Saccharomyces cerevisiae S288C: one gene and its partner. The main gene of each other region encodes a partner of the protein of the gene in region 2 in a complex. Each region holds a gene or a part of one and is shown on either strand. Other genes may lie near its edges. The genes, in order: UPS1 and MDM35. A codon is read from its position in the direction of its gene.

Evidence for each region.
Region 1: the proteins of MDM35 (region 2) and UPS1 are in contact, whole or in part, in a crystal structure (PDB 4XHR), measured with the Saccharomyces cerevisiae proteins. Residues at the interface, in NP_012870.1 of Saccharomyces cerevisiae: Ser6 (codon at 4,139), Ala7 (codon at 4,136), Ser8 (codon at 4,133), Phe9 (codon at 4,130), Lys17 (codon at 4,106), Tyr20 (codon at 4,097), Phe24 (codon at 4,085), Asn25 (codon at 4,082), Trp27 (codon at 4,076), Tyr28 (codon at 4,073), Ser29 (codon at 4,070), Phe32 (codon at 4,061), Leu33 (codon at 4,058), Val38 (codon at 4,043), Trp46 (codon at 4,019), Tyr49 (codon at 4,010), Thr50 (codon at 4,007), Val53 (codon at 3,998), Leu57 (codon at 3,986), Gln60 (codon at 3,977), Ile62 (codon at 3,971), Ala65 (codon at 3,962), Leu66 (codon at 3,959), Glu68 (codon at 3,953), Ala69 (codon at 3,950), Arg70 (codon at 3,947), Glu72 (codon at 3,941), Pro74 (codon at 3,935), Phe75 (codon at 3,932); in NP_013294.1 of Saccharomyces cerevisiae: Phe15 (codon at 2,906), Ala16 (codon at 2,903), Ser19 (codon at 2,894), Arg20 (codon at 2,891), Phe23 (codon at 2,882), Asn24 (codon at 2,879), Tyr26 (codon at 2,873), Pro27 (codon at 2,870), Leu35 (codon at 2,846), Ser36 (codon at 2,843), Ile37 (codon at 2,840), Asp38 (codon at 2,837), Thr39 (codon at 2,834), Ile40 (codon at 2,831), Ser41 (codon at 2,828), Arg42 (codon at 2,825), Val44 (codon at 2,819), Gly48 (codon at 2,807), Asn49 (codon at 2,804), Leu50 (codon at 2,801), Arg51 (codon at 2,798), Thr53 (codon at 2,792), Leu55 (codon at 2,786), Trp77 (codon at 2,720), Ile79 (codon at 2,714), Val81 (codon at 2,708), Ser82 (codon at 2,705), Val83 (codon at 2,702), Val84 (codon at 2,699), Pro86 (codon at 2,693).

The regions. Positions count from the first base shown.
Region 1 is NC_001144.5:537,589-545,973, forward strand, and holds UPS1 (Ups1p), read right to left. Parts: upstream 2,949-8,385; coding exon 2,421-2,948; downstream 1-2,420. Other genes in the region: peroxin PEX13, read left to right, coding at 1-844; HCR1 (translation initiation factor eIF3 core subunit j), read right to left, coding at 1,204-2,001; NCW2 (Ncw2p), read right to left, coding at 3,221-3,985; glycylpeptide N-tetradecanoyltransferase NMT1, read right to left, coding at 4,349-5,716; rRNA-processing protein PWP1, read left to right, coding at 6,380-8,110. UniProt on the Saccharomyces cerevisiae protein: Required for maintenance of normal mitochondrial morphology. Required for PCP1-dependent processing of MGM1.
Region 2 is NC_001143.9:335,289-343,247, forward strand, and holds MDM35 (Mdm35p), read right to left. Parts: upstream 4,155-7,959; coding exon 3,894-4,154; downstream 1-3,893. Other genes in the region: OAR1 (3-oxoacyl-[acyl-carrier-protein] reductase (NADPH)), read right to left, coding at 33-869; DNA damage-responsive RNA polymerase-degradation factor DEF1, read right to left, coding at 1,249-3,465; ASK1 (Ask1p), read right to left, coding at 4,380-5,258; SFK1 (Sfk1p), read left to right, coding at 6,024-7,085; LPX2 (Lpx2p), read right to left, coding at 7,564-7,959. UniProt on the Saccharomyces cerevisiae protein: Involved in mitochondrial distribution and morphology. Mediates the import of UPS1, UPS2 and UPS3, 3 atypical mitochondrial intermembrane space (IMS) proteins lacking the two major IMS-targeting signals, into the intermembrane space.

The DNA of each region.
Region 1 (8,385 bases), on a different chromosome or scaffold from region 2:
GAGGTATGGCTATGGAGGATCGTACTATGGCAACAATTATGGATCGTTTTATGGAGGAGGGTACGGTGCAGGAGCGGGATATGGAATGAATAATGGAAGTGGACTAGGTGAGTCGACGAAGGCCACCTTTCAGTTAATAGAAAGTTTGATAGGCGCTGTTACTGGATTTGCACAAATGCTGGAATCTACTTATATGGCCACACACAACTCGTTTTTCACCATGATATCCGTCGCAGAACAGTTTGGTAATTTGAAGGAAATGCTAGGTTCATTTTTTGGTATCTTTGCTATAATGAAGTTTCTTAAAAAAATACTCTATCGTGCTACTAAGGGGAGACTAGGAATACCACCAAAGAATTTCGCAGAATCTGAAGGAAGCAAAAATAAACTAATTGAAGATTTTCAAAAGTTTAATGATAGTGGTACCATAAATTCTAATGAGAAAGCCACAAGAAGGAAAATTTCATGGAAACCGCTACTATTTTTTTTGATGGCAGTATTTGGTTTTCCATATCTACTAAACAAATTTATTACTAAACTACAGACCTCTGGAACCATACGAGCATCGCAAGGAAATGGTAGCGAGCCTATTGATCCTTCGAAGTTAGAATTTGCAAGAGCGTTATATGATTTTGTTCCAGAAAACCCAGAGATGGAAGTTGCTTTAAAAAAGGGCGACTTGATGGCAATTTTGAGTAAGAAAGACCCTCTTGGGAGGGATTCTGACTGGTGGAAAGTGAGGACAAAGAACGGCAATATTGGCTACATTCCGTATAACTATATTGAGATCATAAAAAGACGGAAGAAAATTGAGCATGTTGATGATGAAACGCGTACACACTAGTGCATCAATATTTGCACACATATATTCGCATATATATATAGTAAAATCTAAAGTAATGTAAATATTCCAGGGAGAATCAGCAGAAACGAGACGAAGTACTTCTTAACAAAAAGCCAGATAACGGTGCAAAAACACATTATATTCTCCATCTTGAAAACACAATCTCCTACGTACACATATGCGTATTTATTTTTATATGAATGAAACGCCTATGGATATATATATGGGAATATAGACATTCACAATTTCAGGACAATTGTGATATGGCAATATCCAAGGCCTGCGGTGCTGGGCTTCGCTTTTTTTCACCAACAAAATGAGATGGACAAGTTTATCATAGCAAAGAAACAATAAGCAGATTACATAAAGTCGTCATCACCGAATTCAAAATCGTCGGGGCCATCTAGGTCGAAATCTTGATCTTTCTTAAATGCGCCACCCAAATTGGTCTTACCTTTGACTTTCTTCTTACCAGCACCCCCAGTAGCAGTACCACCTCTAACACGGGCCAGACGAGCTTGCCTCTCCTCTCTTTCCTTATCTTTGATCAAAACGTTCAAAGTAGCAACTGTTTGTCTTATAGATTCGATGGACATTGGTTTTGCTACATCTCTAATCAAATCAATCGCTAACGATGAGGAGTAGTTCAGCGGAGATTTTTTGTTCATTGGTGTAATAGCAGCAGTAAGAGCCTTTCTTAAATCCTGGTACTCTCTCTTTGTTTCGGCGTTAAACAAAGGATGTGTTTCGATAGGTGTGTCCTTGGTAAAGGCGGGTCTTTTTAGAGCTTGTTCCTCTTGTTCCTTTTGTAAAGCACGAGCCCTTGGATGTTCTTCGGCAACACCTAAACCCGCAAACAAATCTGCAGCATTGTTTAAGTCAGACTCCATTTCAGCCTTTTTGATTAATTCTTTACGTGTCTTTTCATCCAATGTGTCAATATCCAATAGGGCTCTGTCAGCGGAGGATTCTTTCCCTTTTTTAACCTTTTTTGGTTGTTCTTTTTTTGGCTTTGGGGCAGGCTTCTTTTCTTCCTCTTCTGCATCCCATGATTGCATGACAGGTTCGTCATCACCAATTTCAGCATCCCATGAGTCCATCAAAACGGCGTCATCATTACCCATAGAACCATTGATAGCTTCGTCGTCCCAAGACATTTTTATTACTTTTTTTTTTTTGAGGTGGTGGTTAGGATAGAATAGTTACAAGGAACTCAAAAGATAGTAAGATAATTTAAAGCGAGAGTTCAAGAATGGTGGGAGCAGTCAGTTCTCAATTCTTTAATGTAGTACTTCTGACTTAGCTAGCATGAAAAAAAAATTCGGAAAATGCCCAAAAACAGGTGTGTTCGTCTAATATGATACAGGGACGACCATAATATCAAGATTAGTGACATTTGATGTATAGTTTAGCAGAATGACTGTTATAAATAAATAATTATATATGTGTGTATATTAAATTTTGTTGAACCAGCGCTTATTTACAATTTTTAGGACGTGACCAAATGCGAGCTGCACTAGTTTTCTCAATTTCGCTCGCCCATGGTGATATCTTTAAAGATCTTTAAATGGGAACATCAAAACTGAGGATTTCTCGCCTCTTCGAGTTTTTGGATAACAAATGCCATGCCCATTCTGCTTTTCTTAACGTTTTCGTCAAATTTAGTGCGCGACCAATCCTCTACCTTAGATTTGATACCCATATTGAAGCCACTTGAAAACTTCACCCGGCTGTCTGCTATCGTACTACTTGTAGCACTGTCAAATTGATAGGTAGTATATTCTTCAACCTTCATGATTCCAGTGTGATCCAGATTCCTAGTGTAAGTTTTCATTGTGGAGTTAGCGGGGTTCACTACGGAAACTTCGATTATCCATGTTTCTGTTATACCTCTTAAAAAGGGTTTGACCCATGTGGGCAGCTTTCCGGACTTTTTCAACAGCCTCGTTGTGCGCAAATTTCCTTCTTGATCAACGTTCCTTGATATTGTGTCTATGGATAGTACATGGGGGGAGTATGGATTGGGGTATCTATTAAAAAAGGCGCGTGAAACAGAGGCAAAATCGGTAGGAAATATATGTGTGCTTTTGTGTAAAAGGACCATTGCAACTCTTAAGGATATCTTACCGCCGTCTCAGAAGCCAGACAATACTTATTGAATATGATTACTCATCCATCTGTCATATATATTTTTTTTTTCTAGCTTATTATCCAGGGAGAGCGAGAAATACTGCGGAGTTTTTCACCCGAAAGAAAAAAAATACGCAAGCACGATGATAACAATAGTTATATTATTGGTTACCTACAGTGTATAAAAAGAAAGAGTTTTATTAAAATGCAGAACTATGTGGTGGTATACAGAACTGATTATACATTCTATAACAAAAGGGCACCAACGGCGAATGCACCCGCACCATAAGCTATGTGAGTGCCGGCAAAGGCGCCATTGGTAGAATTGGACATTACGGACGCTACCTTACCGTTGACTGTAGACTTGTATGTAGTGGTCAGTGTCTCTACTGTAGAACCTGACGTAGTGGTATAAGTTGATTTGATAGTGCTTACTACCTTGGTGCTTGATTCCGGTTTTGATGAGGATCCCGAAGATGATTTACTTGATGAAGCCGTGTTGTCAGTTGTGGCTGAGGACGGTAGCCACCAAACAGTAGATGTGTAAGTCTCACCTAACGAATTCGTGGTAGTTACTATAGTAACTGGCCCGTCCGTTGATGTTGATGTCGTTGAGGAGGATGCGGAGTTGGTGATTCCGCTTGACGTCTCTCCGGTGGGCTGCACAGAGGCAGTTGAAGTTGTGCTTACGGCAGAGTTGCTTTCGGCCACCCACCATAGGTACTGTGTCGTGGTTTTGCCTTGTGCATCCGTCGTCACTACGGTGGTACTTGGAGCCACAGCATAGGTGTTGCTGACGACGTTGCTAGTTTGTACTAAGCTTTTTCCGGTAGAAACTACAGTTGATGCGCTTTCTTGGGCTTCCTTTGTCGTGGTAGGTGTGATCTCTTGAGAGTTTGAGCTTTCCTTTTGTGAGCTATCTTCAGAGTTCTGGCCATCTAAGGAACCAGAGTCTTTTTGAGCAGCGGCTAGAGTAATTAAGGTGGTAAATAATATGGAACAGGCCTTCATTTTATATATATGTTGGGTTTGTTTATATTTTCACTAGATCGGTGAGTATCTAGTCCAGAAGAGTTGATCTTTCTTACATACTTATATATGCTCACTACCGCCTTCTGAGAAAGTAGGCGTTTTTCAGCTACCTCAGTCGCTAAAAATAAATGCGAGTTCTCAAGCCAACTTGGACTCCAAGGCGGTAATTATAGTGATTCTCTTTGTCTATTTTTGGATTTATTTTGGAGGCTGACACTCTAAAGCCAGCCATTGGATTAATTATTTTTTCACTTCGTCAATTGACTATGCGGAAAAACTAAATGTGGTCAAATTCTGTCGGCTATGTACACGAAAACTATATACGCCTCGTCCTTTCAGCCACTACAACATAACAACACCGACATTGCTACGCCTTTTAATGTCGTTACTATTGTCGGGATTCAAGCCACCGGTAATCGGCTTTGCTCTATAATTAAATAAATAGAAGTTCAAGAACCCGTCACCGGGCCCGAACTTCAAATCATCCAAGAACAATGTATTATCTTGCGAAGTCAACGCGTTAAAAACATCCATATTAGCGTTTTTGGCCAAAATACAAGCGTCATAAATCAATTCACACAATCTTGTTTTCAAAGCCTTAGTAGCTTTTGGATCAAACCTGTCTTTGAATTGGAAATCTGCATCGGTGGCATAATAATACAAGTACCCGATGCCTAGGTCCTTATATTTTGTGTTATTTAGGATTGTGAATGGCAATGAGTAAAATGAGAAGAAGTCTGTAATTTTTCCATCGGGCTGTTCGACTACATATGAGAAAATTACTTGTTTATCCAATGGTAACGATTCTTCACCAATGAAATTATGTTCGAATTCTTCTTTTGTGAAAATTTGAATTAGTTCGAACCTGGATTGATATCTTTTGAACAACTCAAAAACTTGGTCAATATCTTCCTTCTTTAATTTTCTCAATCCCGCTGTCTTTGTTTTGGCCGGTAACGCATTCTCAGCAATCATATCCTCCTCTGTGTGCCCATCTGGTAACCCTGTGAAATCTACTTCATAAAGTTTCTTCCAATTCAAGGGACGATGAGTATAACGACACGTACTCACAGGTGCTGGCAAAACAATACCTGCCGTGTACAATGCATGCCAGATGTCACATTTGTTCACTCGTCTCGTAATTTCTTTAATTAGAACAGGTGTTAATCTCTTCGATCTTAGCTGTTTGTGAACGCACAAGAAATTGATTTCTACACTAGGCACTTGTTTACCTCTAACACCAAGTGTTACTGGTATGGCTGAGATAAAGGCAACTAATTTCTGTGTTTCTTTAACGCGAACACCAATATGCCAATCCTTCTTCCAACCTGGACTCTTTAAAGCCCAATTGAAGAATTCTTTGGTATAGTTAAATCTGAAGCCTGCATCGCGGTCTTCCACGTAGTTTTCATTTAGTAGAACGAAAACATCTTCAAGCTGTTTTTTGTTGTCCACATCAATACTACACCATTCGAAGCTAGACAATAAAGGTAGTGGCTTGTCAGATATATCTTCCGGTGTCTTTGGCTTATCAATGGGGCCTTCTTCCACCACCTTTTCATCGAAATCTTTGACCGGTTGCGTTCTCCAGAATTTGTGGTCTTTCATAGCTTTTTTCTGTTCTTGAGTGAATTTTGAAGTATCGTCATTATTCAACTGTAATAACTTCAATAAATTCTCTAATTTTTTCGCTTTATCCTCTTCTGACATTCTATAAATACGTTTACTACCGAAGCTCTATGACAACCAGAGCTATTGTACAGATCATTCTCTAAAAAGCGTGCAACACATATCATCTTCAATTATAGTGAATTACTTTTATCATGAGCAACGGCTGAAATTATTTTATCCTATTGTTTTATGACAGTATCCTTTCAAAAGAGTCGAAAGGATCCTCTGTTGCAAGAACTACTATTACGTAATTATACATAGTCCGCCTGCAATTTCTAGTGAGACTTTGCTTTGCTTTCCACTTTGCGATTAATATTGAGAATTTTAAACGTTAACTGAATTCTTACCCACCCATAATAAGAACTCTAACTGGCGAATTTATCATGAAACAAATCTGCAAGAATAAAAAATTAGAGAATCGTGCAATTCAATTTAATTGCCTTGTCCGTTGTAAAACTTTTCCATAGGCCCTACCTTGAGTTGATCATATGTATTATTCTATATATATTATATCCAGTCGGGTAATAAATTTTCTCGCCCTCGAAAAAAAGAAGTGAAAAATTTGTCTCGATGAGCTGAGATGAGTTTGAAAGAAGCAAAGAGTTTTAATTTGTAAACGATAGCAAGTGTACCCTCAGTTGAGTCTATTACGCCTTCCTTATTTGGAAACTTAGAAGACGAATAAAAAAAACAAAATAACTAATGATTTCTGCTACTAATTGGGTTCCAAGAGGGTTTTCCTCGGAATTTCCTGAAAAGTATGTTCTGGATGATGAGGAAGTGGAAAGAATTAACCAATTAGCACAGTTGAATTTGGATGATGCTAAAGCTACTTTGGAAGAAGCAGAAGGCGAATCAGGTGTTGAAGATGACGCCGCAACAGGTAGTTCTAATAAGTTGAAGGATCAGTTGGATATAGATGATGATTTGAAAGAATATAACCTGGAAGAATATGACGATGAGGAAATTGCAGATAATGAGGGTGGTAAAGACGTTTCCATGTTCCCGGGTTTAAGTAATGATAGCGATGTTAAATTCCATGAGGGTGAAAAAGGTGAAGATCCATATATTTCATTGCCTAATCAAGAGGATAGTCAAGAGGAGAAGCAGGAGTTACAAGTTTACCCATCCGATAATTTAGTTCTTGCTGCGAGAACAGAAGATGACGTTTCGTATTTGGATATCTACGTTTACGATGACGGTGCTGGGTTCCACAGTAGCGATATTCCCGTTGAAGAAGGTGATGAAGCTGACCCAGATGTTGCTCGTGGATTGGTTCGTGACCCTGCACTTTACGTTCACCATGATTTAATGTTGCCTGCTTTTCCACTATGTGTTGAGTGGCTTGACTACAAGGTTGGATCCAATTCCGAAGAAGCAGCCAATTATGCTGCCATTGGTACGTTTGATCCACAAATTGAAATTTGGAACTTGGACTGTGTTGACAAGGCCTTTCCCGATATGATTCTGGGTGAACCTCTTGATAATTCAATGGTGTCTTTGAAAAGCAAAAAGAAGAAGAAGAAGTCTAAGACTGGACACATTACTACTCATCATACCGATGCTGTTTTATCCATGGCACACAACAAATATTTCCGTTCCGTTTTAGCATCCACCTCTGCAGATCATACCGTAAAACTATGGGATTTGAACTCAGGTAACGCAGCCCGCTCCTTAGCTTCCATTCATTCAAACAAAAATGTTTCATCATCTGAATGGCACATGTTGAATGGTTCCATTCTTTTGACCGGTGGTTATGATTCTCGAGTAGCTTTAACAGATGTTAGAATTTCTGACGAAAGTCAAATGAGTAAATACTGGTCTGCCATGGCAGGTGAGGAAATAGAAACTGTTACATTTGCCAGTGAAAATATAATATTATGTGGTACTGATTCTGGTAATGTGTATTCTTTCGATATTAGAAACAATGAAAACCGTAAACCAGTTTGGACATTGAAGGCACACGATGCTGGTATCTCCACATTATGTTCAAACAAATTCATCCCTGGTATGATGAGTACAGGGGCCATGGGTGAAAAGACTGTCAAATTATGGAAATTCCCCTTGGATGATGCTACGAACACTAAGGGCCCAAGCATGGTTCTGTCTCGTGATTTCGATGTCGGAAATGTATTGACATCGTCATTCGCTCCAGACATCGAGGTAGCGGGTACCATGGTCATTGGTGGTGTCAATAAAGTTTTGAAACTATGGGACGTTTTTACCAATAGATCTGTACGTAAGAGCTTTAAAAGTGAACTAGAGAATGTTCAAGCAAGAGCAAAAGAAGAAGCCCAAAAAATAGGAAAAAGTTCAAGAATCGCCAGAAAATACACCAGTAACGATAACCCAGATACTGTTATAACCATTGATGATCAAGGTGAAGATGAAGAAGAAAGAGAAGGTGGAGATGAGCATGATGACATGGCATAATCTGGATATGAAAAATATTAAAGCAGAGTACATTGCAAGTACAAATAAAAAATCTATAGAAGATAATACTGTATACTAGTGTAAGAGGAGCCTCAGAAAAAAACAATATAATACATTAATATGTGCTGTTACGGTATAATTTAGCATATGATGACAATGTGGTGAATTACAGTTGTGTAACTTTTTTATATCACCCGGCATATATACGCTCGTAGAATGCGATGTGAAAATTTTCTTTTTTTTTTTTTTTCAAAGTGAAATTTTTTTGAGTGATG
Region 2 (7,959 bases):
GACACAAATCTATTATTTGTTTCGATTTTCTTTTACGTCTCCAAAGCAGTTCTACTGTATAGAGACCAGACTTCTTCCGCTATTTCAGCGGGTGCGCTTGTACCGCTTGCCCCAATGGTTCTCTCCAGCATTTCTTTAGCCTCCACTGGCAAATTTTGGATCATATCGGTCCCTTTGACTAAACCTGGAGATATCGTAAAACACCTAATGTTTCTTGGTTCCATTTCTGCAGCTAAAACTTCTGTAAATCTGGACAGTGCGGCTTTAGAGGCGGAGTAAACAGATGTACCTGGAACCTTCATTTTTCCGGAGTGTAGAATGGAGGAAATATTTACGATGGTGGGTCGAGCAGATTGACCACTGAGTTCCGGCCATCTCCTTTGCGACTTCATCATATACTTAATACAGATGTTTGTCATCGTCACAGGGCTCATAAAGTTAACATTCATTATGTCCTGAATTTGAGATGCAGTGGTTCTTACACTTAATGATTCTTGAGTCAAGCCTGCGCAGTTAATCAATAAGTTTACGTAGTAGCGGCGTTCATTATTTGACCATTTGTTACATGGGTCGAACAATGTGGAATATTTCTGTTTCAAGGGCGGTCTATCTTTGAAATATTCGATACCGTCATATGACTCATAGTCAAGCCAGTGAGGCCATTTCTTAAAATCAATTGCTATAGCACATTGCCGCTGATATGATAATCCCGATTGTAATTGGCCTCTATCTATCGCGGTGCGCTCTATACTTTCTTTAGTAGACCCAAGTATAATGCAACTTAAACCCTTTTGAAATAACTTTTGACATATTGCCTTGCCTATACCCCTAGTGGCACCTGTTACTATCGCAACAGGCAAATAATGCATTTCCAGACTTTTCTTCTCCCACGTCTATACCAATGTACTCATGTGTATTCCATAGTTCTCATCAGTTGCAAACAGTAACGGCGGAAATTTTGACGCTGTGATATATAAAACAGAAAAAGTGGCATTTCCAAAACCCCGCAAAATAAAGACACAGCTAGCTAGATAGATAACACAACATATATATACCTTTTATTATTTACGTACGTATATATATATATGCAAAATTTAAATGATATATGACATCATCAAAAGGATATGGAATCCTTGCCCAAACATTGAAGAAAGTAAAACATAATAGTGGTAATAAAATGTGTATTTAAATTCATTGTATTTTATTCCCCATTTCGTTTTTTATGTGGGAGGTTCTACTTCTCCCTTATTAGTAGAAACCTCTTGAATTTTTAGAATTGTAATCATAACCGTTGTAGCCATATGGTACACCTTGTTGGGCAGCAGCAGCGGCAGCGGCAGCAGCTTGTTGCTGTTGTTGTTGGAATTGATAGTATTGTTGGAACTGCATTTGTTGTTGTGGGTTAACAGGTTGGCCATTTTGCATTTGAACTTCAGGTTGGGGTTGACCTTGAGGTTGCTGTTGCTGTTGCTGTTGTGATTGCTTCTGTTGAGAGTCTTCAGAATGCTGGGCAACACCTTGATTTGGACTTTGCTGTTCCTGACCGTTTTGAGTTTGGTAATAGTTGTAATTGTTCTTTGGTAACTGGTATGGATATTGACCAGCTACACCGTATTGAGGTTGACCATATGGGAATGACTGTTGGTAAAAGTGGGCGTAGTATGGCATGAATGAGCCACCGTATGGCTGTTGTTGTTGAGGTTGGGCGTGAGCTGTAGCTGGAGAAGCGGCAGCAGCAGCGGCAGCACTAGTCAAATTAGCAGCAGCAGTGTTCGCGCCTGCTTGACCATAACCTTGTTGGAAATTATATTGGTTAGCATTACCACTAGTTTGAGCGTTGTTTTGAGCAAGTTGCTGATATTGTTGACCGTAAGCGTATCCTTGTGAATCAAACATACCTGGATAAGAATATCCAGGAAATTGGTTTTGATACATGTAGTACTGTTGGGCAGCCACGTTGTTCCCTTGTTTTTGACTTTGTGGACTTTGCTGTGATTGAGGTTGTTGTGATTGAGGTTGTGGATGCTGTTGCTGTTGCTGAGCATATTGTTGTTGTTGGGACAAATACTGTTGCTGTAACTGATGCTGTTGTTGAGCGTATTGTTGCTGCTGTTGTTGAGTATAGTAGTTTTGAGATAATTGTTCTTCTTGGGCTTGAGCTTGAGCTTGTACTGGTTGTTGTTGCTGTTGCTGTTGCTGTTGTAGTTGTTGTTGTGGTTGTTGTGGTTGCTGTGGTTGTTGTTGTTGCTGTGGTTGCTGTGGTTGCTGTGGTTGCTGTGGTTGCTGTGGTTGCTGTGGTTGTTGGGATTGTTGTTGTGGTTGAGGTACAGTATTAGCTTGATCTTCTGGAGGCTCTGAAATAACAGCACTAATTTCAACCTTTTCTTCAACAACTGTAACTTCTTCTTCTGGAGCAGCAACATTATCTTGTTCTTGTTCCAGCTCTTCCGCTGTCTGTTCCTCTTCTTTTACTTGTTCCTTTTTTTCAGCTTCTTCTTGGACTTCTTCTCCGTCCACTTCAGGGACTCTGTCTTCATTTTCTTCAGAAGGTTCAGCAGTCTCCTCCTCTTGTTCTTGTGCAGATGTTTCTTGTTCATTAACTTTTTCTTCACTAGCTTCAGACTTTTGGTCATCCTTCTTAATATCGCTTATTTCTTTCTTCAATTCAGCAACGTTTTCAAGAGGAGACTCGGTCTTTTTAACAGCCTTTGGCTTTGGTGTAGCAATTGCAGCCCACGACATTTTCTTTGGTTGTGAAGCAGATGTCCTAGAAGTTGTTTTCTTTGAAGATAAAGAAGGTTGCTCTATTTGTTTGTGTTCTTCTTTGTTATTATGCCCTTCCTGCTGTTGTTGCTCTTCTTGCTCTTTTTCTTGATTTTTCTCCTGCGCTTGTTGCCCTTGTGCTTCTAATTCTTCATTATTGTTATCATTTGAATCTTGAGGAACGTCATGTTTAGTATCTACAGAAACAGCTGCTGCCCACGATGTAGTGTTTGAAACAGGCTTGGATGGTACGTGCTTCCCCTTGTCGAGATTAACATGTTTCCCGGTTGTATGAGCTCGTGGTGTTTGTACCTTCTTCTTATTTCTGGCTTGAGTATAATTGTTACTACTGTTATGCTTTGTAGAAGTAAAAGAATTGCTATTATTAGAACTCTTATATGTAATATCATCTTCTGGATTTGGCAAATGTTGTTGAGGGACATATGAGTGTTGTTGCTCCTTTTTTTCATATTTTTCCTTCTTAGCAGGTTTCTTTACTTCATCCCATCTTGTCACTGCGCCGGAAGTAATTTTATCAATTATAGTTTCCAAATCATCATATTCTTGAACTATATCAATTAAATCATCACTCGTCCAGTCAGGGAACAATTCTGTAAGCGTATCTATTTTGGACTTTAGCGCAGGATTTAGTTTTTTACTACTATGACTATTATGATTAGACTTCCTAAATTGTGTAGACATTATATATATATGATGATGTAGATTATATTGAGAAAACGACCAAACAAAAATAAATATGTAAGTACTTTATGATGGTGATTTTTTTGGGGTAATTGGTAAGAGTTTTTCTTGTAGCTTCAAAAGATCAAATATAAAATACGAATGTTTCTGAAATTACTGTAAAAGACTTAGGAAAAGGAATGAAACGTTTATATGGGAGAGAACGAAAATTTTTCCTTTTCCCGCCACTACTTTTTGCCACCATTTCCCGTTATTTATTTGGGCGAGTGCTCACCTCCGACGGAATCACGGGTGACGGATATCCTAAAAAGGTAAAGAATTGAAACAGATCTATTAATATACGGATCACTATACATTATTATAAGTCGATATTGCAGTATTAGTATTTACATGTTGAATAATGCACATTCTGTGCTAAAATATATACTTCATTTGTCAACTTCTTTTAGTTTGCCGCCATTTTCAAACGGCGCCTCCTCCCTAGCTTCGTCTAGAGCAGGCTTAATACCTTGTTTGACGAGAGCTGCGTTGACACATGTAGTATAAGCGTACCATTGTTTTGAGCACTCGTTCTCAACGGATTTTCCCTTCAGGAATTTTTCGCTATACCATTCATTAAAACAACTATCGTATTTCGTCTTCAGGTCAGTGCATTCAGGCGCAAAACTAGCTGACATTATATTCCCCATATAAAACTGGTATTATTGTTATTGTAATTCAAGTTAAAACACAAACAGATGTTTTCTAATGACCTCTCCCGGCATATATCTGGCGCACTTAGAATAAATTTCTACATGCAAATACTCTGAATATTCTGAATGTGGCTCTCCCTATATCGAAGAAAAAATATAGCGGGCCCATTACCCTGCGTTCTGATATTCATCACTAGTAAAAATTGTATGTACTTATTTATTCTATCTATTCGTAGAAAAATGAATGATGGTCCCAGGCTTTGGTACTTCTTTCGTACTCTCTTCTTCATCGGGCCCTTCGTTGTTATCATCCGCTTGTCCCTTCGGGTGGTGGTGCCCCTGCTTCAGAGGCGAGCTCTCTATATTATTGCTGTTCTCATCGTCGTTATCGCCGTCGTTATTAATATGTTCTTCATGAGCCAGTTGCTTCCGCATTTTATTGGGCACAATCGGAGACGGTACCATGCTGGAACTAGACCCGTACTGCTGCTGCAAAAGTAGCGAAATCTTTCTTTTGCGGCTTTGTCTCTGTATTGTACTTTCATCTTGCTCATCATCAGCTCCACCATGACCCTCGCCTGTAAGGTCTGTTTGCTCCCTTGAAGGCACCGCCTCTGAACCAGTATCTTCGTCGCTAGAGTCCGGAAGTTTCAATATCTGTCCCGTGGATGTTATATTCGCTGTGTGGAAATCATCTATACTGTCGTTATTAAACATAGAATGGACATCCCGGTTGACATGTACAGCTGAATCTGCCTCGTTAGGCCCATTGTCTGTCTGGGACTGCCTACTCGCCTCTTCAGCGGATGTAGGAAATATACCAACATTATTGCTCACAAGGCTTTTGACTGGAGCGTTTCCCACTGGTGCAGCTGCATTTGCCTGCAAATTCACCAGCCCAGTCTCTTGAAACATAGTCCCCAGCCATTCGGTGCTATCCATGATCCGCTCACATATTTCTGAATATGTAGCCACGTGTGGGATGATGTCCTGGGTGATCTTATGAAAGCAGAAACTCAAGTTAGAGTCTATCTTCTGCAGGTTCACTGTAATTTCTTGATCAAGTTTTTCCAATGTTTCCTCTTTGCTTGCAGAATCCATTTTTTGTGTCAACAATCCCTTATGTTGCTCTTTCCATACGTTGATCAACCTGGCTCTATTCCCACCCCAAACTGTAGATATCTATTTTGTTGATGCCTCAGCTCACCAAAACAAACCAAAAAAACGGAAAAAAAAAACGGAAAAGAACGGAAACAAACGGAAAAGAACGGAAAAGAAAACAGGAAAAACTCGCTGTTCTGTTACCCGCGCGGCACTACCGCATTTAATCGGAGTAGCTACTAATCAAGCAAGGGCCTCCGTTCCTCTATGACGCACCGGACATATCGCATTTCCACTATAATAGTGCAAGTAGGACGGGATAAGGCCCAAGATTATCAATGAAGACTAACACAACGGTCTTGCCAGCCATATCCAACTCTAAACATCTTCCACGGCTGTTCAAAAACGAAGATCTCTTACCCCTCTGCGGCTTAAGGGCTCTGTTCAATTGAAGGATCCGCGGCAGTAAAGTAAATGGATGAAAAAAAAAAACTGGAAAAATAGCAACTTTTTTCAGCCTGGAAGATTTGTCATCTAAGCGAAGGAGAATGAAACCGGAATTTTCACTCCTTCTTAGGGGCATTCAGTTTATAAATATAGTTATTCCCTGAAGTTGAGATTTACTGATTTAACATCTGGACAACTAAAAACCTAAATAATAAGACACAATTTTTTGCGGGATTTTTTTTCCTTTAGATACTTTTAACATTCATAGTAAAAAGTTCTGCTACATAGTAAAAACACATAGAAGGTACAAGCAATAGCATGATTCAATTTAAAAGTCCAGGTAACTGGCTGTTCATAGTACCCTGGATTGCCTTCATTCCATGGTATGGTATGCTGATAGCCATGCTTATTTGCTGGGCCAGTCAAGGCCATCCCATATATTGGTTCATGCACTCGGAGCAATTCCCTGTGTACATTTCAGATATAGGTGCCACTAATTTAAGGCCACTGTTTATATCGTGCGCCGGCTGGCAGGGTCTAGGCTATGTAATCACTGTTGCCCTTGAGTTTTTTCAAAGATCCGGCTATCTGCCTTTCCAACTGAAAAAAAAAGACCCTTCTATCTCTGATTCCACATCTTATGCTGAGAAATTGCACAGCGGTAAATACTTAATGCCTCCATATTACACAAAGGATGAACGGAACCTGATTTTCGCAGCTTTTGTTCTCGGCAGCATTGGTGAACTAGCCCTTTTATTCAGTTCCATCTTCTCAACCGCCCTGTACCATCGCGTTCACATTGCTATGGTCTCTGTTTTCGTCGTCTTCATGTTCCTATCCACTTGCTGCTTGATTGCAGAGTATTTCCTCATGGGAAGGCACTATGCCTCAGTCCACCCCCTAGCCAGCCCTCATTTCAATCCTCAATCATCTGAAAAAAGCTTTAACCAAGATTATAACACTGTGGATGAGCTGCCTTGGTATAAATGGAAAGGCCATGTATGGAATAAATTTACCATCAGTGCAACTCTAAAAGTTATATGGTTAACTCTCGCAGTTGTATGGGCCATTTGTTTTGGTGCTATCAATGATAGATCTAAGAGTGCTTGTTTCGAATGGTTGCTAGCATTTTGGTTTGGTATCATATTTATGATTCTTTCCGCCGACTTTTATTTAGGTGGAAGATACAGACAATCCCGCTATTTCAACCACGTGGAATCATTTTCGGGTTATTACAAGTATGACAAGGCGCTAGGCCTCTACCACAGTGAAGACGTTTTGCCTTCGGACGATAACGCCGGCGTGATTGCCACAGAAACAGCATCTTCAAATATTTACAATAATTCCTCTTCCAACGAATCTATTCAAGTAGTCGTATGACCTCATATATGCTAGACTTGACTAGGAAATACCCTCTAACCTGCAAGATATATTCATCTTTTTCTTTCCAAAGCACAATTTAATAAAACTTGCAAGAACATCGTCATCATTTCCCCCTTTTATTTTTGTTATCCCCGTTACTGATGTAACTAATACCTAATTCTATGCTTCTCAATCTGTATAGTAGTTTTCCTTTTGCCGAAGAATTTCTTCTGGCTGCTTTTTTTTTTGACATATTTCGCATTGTCCACAATGGTCATTGCGTTAAAAGCTAGAAATTAAAAAGAGAATATTGTTCAGCATATGTAGTTTAAGTTGGCAAATTTGTTCTGCTCTTGATGTACCTAGAATAAATAAATATTAATCAGAAAAATAAAAAAAAAATAAAAGTAATGAAAAAAAATATAACAAAACCAACATTAAGGTATATATTACAGCGAGTAGCGGCACCGGTTATCATCAAACGATTGATAGAAAGTTAGATAACCTCTTTGAAAAAACTTTCCTTAGGAGAGGTATTGGAATCGTTGGAATCGCGAACTCTTATCTCCGATCCCTCTTGATCGTCTTGATCATCTGTAACTTCATTACTATAATCATTTTCTATCGAACCTTGAGAAAAGCCACTAAAAGACCGGCGGCCGTTGTCGTTACAATGGGTAAAATCGTGCCCCTTTTTTGAGTCCATTTGATCCACCACAGGCTCCCTCTTCATAGTTACAGACTCTGTTTTGGATAGTCCTTGTTTATCGGCATTCTTATTAAATAAAAATTGTTCTATCGTTATGGAGCCTCCACTGTTCGCCGCTGGTCTTGAAGATTTATCCCTCTTGTTTGCGATGGAATCTTCACCGGTGCCATCTACTGCTTGGTG